Linked DNA regions of Mus musculus. The protein of the gene in region 2 interacts with the protein of the main gene of each other region in a biochemical or structural test. Links are inferred from orthologs where the notes say so. Each region holds a gene or a part of one and is shown on either strand. Other genes may lie near its edges.

Region 1 (2,444 bases), about 34 Mb from region 2:
CCAGCCTGAGATCTGGCAGTGGGAGCCTGTTGGGGACCCAGTAAGGAGCCTGTGGCCTGACACCTAACGGTCATCTCTTTTCCTTACAGCACCAGCAGAACCGAGACCGTGCGTGGTGGCAGGTCTTCCTTTTCCTTCAAAACCTCGCCCTGAACAGACAAGAAAACAGGGAAGGGGTGGGGCCCTGGTGAGGCTGGACCGCCCTGGCCGGATGGATCACCAGGAATGCAGTCTGGGAGGACAGATACTGTCTTGTTAAGTTTTGTTATCCGTAACTTTCTATCCATGTGTACATATTACATGCCCCAGTGGGATCTTCTTTCCCCGTTCAGAACCTCCACTGAGGATGGGGGCCTTTGTCAAACACTGTTGAAGGAGAGGCAGCTGTGTCTGCTGGTAGAGTTCCTAAGGCTCTGAAGATGACCAGTTGGTGATGTTCTCCAGGAAGTGGACTGAGACTTGCTACCGGAGCTGGTTAAGTCAGGTTAGGCTCCCAGTACCATCAAACATGTCAGCCTTCCTTCGTGCCTGATGGATCATGGCTTTAACCCACCAGGACCCTGTCTGGGAGCCTCCTGGCTAAGATCAACTGTGCCTTGGCTAGCCCGATTCACGTCTGGGTTCCCACTTGGCACAGCCAGCGCCCACCGCATGGGCTCAGGGATTCTTACTCAGACGCTGTCAACTTCCGGAAGACCTCAGGGAGGGTCGGACTTCTCCAAGAACCCCTCAAAGGTGCCACAAAATGAATCAAACTTGAGAGGCTTCAAGTCTGACTCGGTCCTACATGGAAGCCCCTTGATTGGTCCCCAAGGGTGCAAACTACTGCCACCTTTGCTGGAGCCAAGTAGCCAGTCACCATGCCGTTGTACCCAGCGGCCTGTGCCTTTGTCAGCTCTGTTTTCAGAAGACCCTGCCAATGACTGGACTGGATCTGTCTGCATCCATCTCAGCAGAAGCACTTGGAGATGGGGTGGGCTTGCTGGGGGCGTGGGAACCCAGCAGCCATCCCACTGATAAGTTGGTCCCGGGGGAATCCTAGACCTCTTGGTTTCCTTGGAAACGTGTACCTCCTCCCCCTTACCCCCATTCCTTTTCTGTACCTAGCGGGATACAGGAAGAAGCTAGGACTGAGGCTTTGTCAGCTGAAAAGTGACTTTGGAAGTAACAGACAATGTTTAGACCATGGAAACTGCAGAGCTGACACATCTTGAATCTCCCTTTAGCTTTCAGCTAGGCCAGAAAGGAGAGTTCTAGAACCCAGCAGGACCTTAGCTGCCTGGGAGCTCCTTCCTTCTCTCCCCGCTGCAGTGCTCAGGGAGGGAACGAAAAGCAGCTGATCTTAGAAATTAAGTCCTAAGTGTTATGTATGTAAGGAAAGACATTGGTGCTATAATGAAGATGAGCCAAGGCTCAAAGAAAGATGGCTTCCCTAGACAAAGAAGAACACAGGATTATTCAAGGACTTTGGAGGAGAAACTCAGAGTAGACTCAAATTGAACAAGCCCAGTGACTCCCCATTCTGCAGAAGTGGGGGGGGGGGGCGGATTTCAGTACCATAAAAGGGCACCGGATCTCCTGGGTGTCCAGTTGGGCAGGTTTCTCCCTGCCAAGGCTACCGACAGAGGGGGCTCATAGAGGCTGAGGTCCAGCCTGTGCCCTGCTCTCTAGGCTGCACATCCTGATGTGGGCAGGGTCTGCCCAGAGTAAGGAATGTCTTTCCTAATTTGCACAAAGGTACTGTGTGCACTCTCAGTGGTCCTGAGGAGGACCTTAAGGCATGTGTATAAGCCTTTGTGTTTTTCTGCTCAGATGACCTGGAGATATTACCTCTTCTTGGCCACAATCATTTTTCTCAGGGTCTATACCATAGTTCGTCTGCTAAGAAAGTGGGTTTCTGTTTGCAAGGAGAGGGGACCCAAGTAATGAATATGAAGACTGGTTCTGAGGGTGGGCTTGATTATTTGTGAAGCCCAGCCTTCCTACATCCCACCCTCCCTGCAGTTTAGATGTGTGTGGGACATATGTGGTCTTCCCCTTTCCTGGATCAAGGCTATGACAGGCAGGCTTCTGGTATGTGCTTGGTACATGTGCTGCAATACATGTGCTTGATGGTACATGCGTGCCCCTCCCCATACAGAACCTTGTACTTCAGTTATCTTTAACATAACTTAGTAGACTTTCCATCTGTCCTAAGGCATGACTGTCAGCTTCAGCAACCTTGCTAGGTGCAGGCTGGGTACCCTGTGGCCTGAGAACTGAGCCCAGAGTTTGACCTGAACATTGAGCCTGGACCAGGCAGAAGCTGGTCAGAATGTACTGTCTCCATTTTGGGCCAAGCCGGGACCAAACTTACTAACTCAGGCAAGCCAGGGTGAAACTTAAACCCTCTTTTATCTTTAACCTGAATCCAGGCTGGAGTTGAAGCTCAATGATAAAGGGCT
Region 2 (3,600 bases):
AAGCACTCATTGTGTCAGCCTCTGCTCTCTTTATCTTTGGGTCACAATAGTCTGTTAGAAACTAAGGCTCTAGAAGGTAAACCAGCCTGTCCAAGGTCACATGGCCAGTTAAGTGACAGGGCCAGGACTCACACCCACATACAGTCTGTCACCAAATCTTAATTTCCTATGGAGCCTCACAAACCAGGTTCTTGCTCTGCCAGCAAACAGTGCTTCAGTAAAGAGGCCCCAGGGCCCTGACCAGAAAAACACTGGGCAGAGCAGCTGGAGATCCCCAACCAATCCAGGGCAGCGAGGTGCAAAGTCCTGGGGCTTGATATGGCACAGGAAGGGCTCTACAAACAAGCCAACCATGCAGAAAGTTGCACACTTTGGGGAAAAAGAACTTAGGAGCACAGCACAAACACCATTGGCCCAGACCACCCTCCTCTAAAATCAGACAATACTCAGCCACTCTAGCCAGTGGGGGCTCCTGACTGGCCAAATGGTCTGAGTACCATGCATGCAAGTACACAGCAGCCTGAGGTTCCAGTTCTGCAGTTTCCTGGGTATTATGTTCATCACCCCAGCCAAGGTGACCCATTTCATGAGAGTGAGCAGAACGCGGGGAGAACTTGCTGCTCTCATAGGTTTTAAGCCAAGTAAACACATAGGCTGTTTTTCTTTGCTGAGAAATTGGAACAAAACTATGAAACTGTGGGGCCACAAGGGTAGCCAGGATGAAAGATACAGGTCCCTTAAAAATTGGGTCATCTATATTTCCAAAGTTAACCTCTTGTATTAAAATGAAGCCAGGAAGGTCTCCTGAACAATCGGTATCTTTAACAACCATGCCATATAACAGAAAGAGACCAAAAAGGGCAGTTTTAGGGATGTTCACAGAGAAGAGAGACACAAGCAAGGGGCGGACACACAAGGGGCGTGGTTCTTACCCAGCCGCCGTTCTCCTGGATCCAAGGCTCTAGGTGGTCATTCAGATAGGTGGCCATCCAACTTGCAATCCGACTCACCAATACCTGCATCTCCTTGTCTACGCTTTCCACGCACAGTGCCCCGCCAAAGGAGAAAAAGGCCACGATGCGACCCCAGTTTACTCCATCCCGAAAGAGTTCATTCACTACCTGCTCAAAGCTCTGATACGCGGTCCCTGGGGTTATGTGAAGCTGGGATGTTAGATCACTGAACGCTCTCCGGTACCGCAGTTCAAACTCATCGCCTGCCTCTCTCAGCGCTTGCTTCACTGCTGCCATGGGAATCACCTCCCGCGCATCCAAACTGCTGCTGTGGCCAGTGGCTCCATTCACGGCCGGGCTATCCGCCAGGTGCCAGGATGGGTTGCCATTGATGGCACTGGGGGTCTCCCTCTCTGCTTCAGTTTCTTCTGGGGCCTCAGTCCTATTCTCTTCGACATCACTAAACTGACTCCAGCTGTATCCTTTCTGGGAAAGCTTGTAGGAGAGAAAGTCGACCACCAGCTCCCGGTTGCTCTGAGACATTTTTATAATAGAGATGGGCTCAACCAGTCCATTGTCCAAAACACCTGCTCACTTACTGGGTCTGCTCTGTGTTTAGCGATTCTCTTCCAGGATCCAAAGCCAAGATAAGGTTCTGAAGAGAGAGAGAGAGCTTCAGGAGAAAAATTTAATATGCATGTCATTTACCTTACAATATTCCCATTCCTCCTCCAGGTACCAGAATTGCTTTCTTTGTGGCTCTTATGAAGGTCTGAGTCCGGGTTCTAAGGGACTTCAATGAAGTCAAATTGAAAGGACCAGCCAGCTTTGAATTGTTTCATCCGCCTCTTTTTACTACAACCACCCACCCCCTTTTCTCCGAAATGCCTTTCTCCAAAAGTCACCCCCATTGGCATATCCCCACCACCACCACCTACATTCAAATCTATCTCCGGCGACAGCAAGCAGGTACAACCCCCGGAAGGTCTTTTGTATCATAGGTCGGGGAGGAGGTGGTGGCTGGGTCGCCGGTAACTCAGCAAAAAAAAAAAAAAAAAAAAAAAACCAGCCCCGGCCGGAGGGATCATGCGACCTGGTAGGCAGCTCAGAAGGCGACAGAGGAATTGCGAAGCTTAGGAACCTGCCCCCTCACAACCTGGTTCCTCCATCGACCAGATCGAGGGCGGCCTCTCTCTGCTCCGCAGGCTCCAGCCACCCGGGAGCCCAACCCCCTCGCTCTAGCACGCCCCTTGGCTCTCCGCCTCCTACTGGGAGTCAGGAGAACTCTCCCGGAGGTATGGGTTTAGTGTAATTTCCCCCCACCCCTCCTTTCTTTCTTTCTATTTAAGTACCAGCCCTAGATGAGGCTTCCGAAACCCTAAAGGGACTTCCAAGTGAATCTCAAGGTTTCGCGCAGGGACGCGGACAGGGGGAAGACAGCCTCGGATCTGTGATCTGATTTCGGAAAGACCACTCCCGGGTTTTTCCGAGAGGCGTATGCTGGAGACCCCCCACAAACACCGCTAGTTGTCTTTGAATTCCCCAAAGGCCCTGGACACAGCACTGGGGGACGGCCAGGTCCTCCATTCCGCGCCCGGACACAATGGCCGCCGGCACCCCACGCACAAAGACGGGGTGAGAGAGAGGCACTGAGCCCCGCCACCGGCCAGGAAGAAGGGTCGGGGCTCCCACAGTGGAGACCTCGTTTTTCCTGAGGCCGAGCCCAAGGCGGCCTTCTGGAGCCCCCTGCAGGGCTCGAGGGCCGGAGGCCGCTCCGCGCCGGAGCCCCGGGTGGGTGGGCTGAGGCCTCGCTTACTGCTCGCGCTCCCCTAGGCCGGGTACCCGCCGAGCCACCGCCCCGTTGCTAGGCAACCGCCCTCCCTCAGGGGCGCCCCCTAGACCTCTCTGGAAGGAGGGGTCTCGCCCCCGCGGCCCGCCCCAGCTTAGCCAATCCGCGGGTCGAGTCGGCACGGAAGCGGGACGGCAAAGGCTCCCATTGGGCCCAGCGCCTGTCAGGCACAGGGGAGGCGGCGCTCTCACCTGCGAGCCCCAGAGAGCCGTGGGGGGCCACATCCCCCCTTCATAGGCCCAGTGGCTTCCAGACACTAGGGCGTTTTGCGGCTGGGAAGTATGCCGCGGACTTAAGCCTGCCTACCTGGCTGACTGCTCGTGCTGAATCTCCCGGAGAAGCCGGCCTCAGTTTCCCCTGAAGAGACCGGGGGAACTTGCAAGCGCAGCCACTTCCGGTGCCGCGGCAGCGCGCGCGAGCCCGAGACGCAAAAGGAGTGCGCGCCAGAAAGGGACTGGCATCGAGACATGGGAGAGCAGCGACCCCTGGCGAGCGATTTGAGGAGTCTCAGGCGCGTGGAACGTTTATGGTTCACATTCCTTCAATCTAGTTCCTTCATCCATCTGTCCCTTTGTATACTACAGAAAAAGTGCTTTTTCCTTTCGATGTCGGTGTCCAACATCGAACAGGTTTCTCAACTTGTGTATTTCCCCCCTCACTTTAAAAATAGACAGCAATATTGACCTTTCATTGACTGTGTATCAGGTACTACTTGAAAAGCCTGAAGAATAGAAAGCCCTTAGTTTGGTTTGTTGAAGACACAAGGCAAGGCAATGTCTCTGTTTTTATGAAGACTTA

What was found. The genes of interacting proteins can lie anywhere in the genome.
Region 1: the proteins of Bcl2l1 (region 2) and Bmf interact in a test that uses a peptide from one of them, tested with the Homo sapiens proteins (2 studies listed by BioGRID). The link is inferred for Mus musculus from reciprocal best matches to the Homo sapiens genes BCL2L1 and BMF.

Annotation. Positions count from the first base shown.
Region 1 is NC_000068.7:118,530,305-118,532,748, reverse strand, and holds part of Bmf (bcl-2-modifying factor), read left to right. Parts: intron 1-89; coding exon 90-191; 3' UTR 192-2,444. UniProt on the Homo sapiens protein: May play a role in apoptosis. Isoform 1 seems to be the main initiator.
Region 2 is NC_000068.7:152,828,495-152,832,094, forward strand, and holds the start of Bcl2l1 (bcl-2-like protein 1), read right to left. Parts: upstream 2,224-3,600; 5' UTR 1,892-2,223; exon of another isoform or gene 1,693-1,891; intron 1,627-1,692; exon of another isoform or gene 1,609-1,626; 5' UTR 1,497-1,608; coding exon 933-1,496; exon of another isoform or gene 1-932. UniProt on the Homo sapiens protein: Potent inhibitor of cell death. Inhibits activation of caspases. Appears to regulate cell death by blocking the voltage-dependent anion channel (VDAC) by binding to it and preventing the release of the caspase activator, CYC1, from the mitochondrial membrane.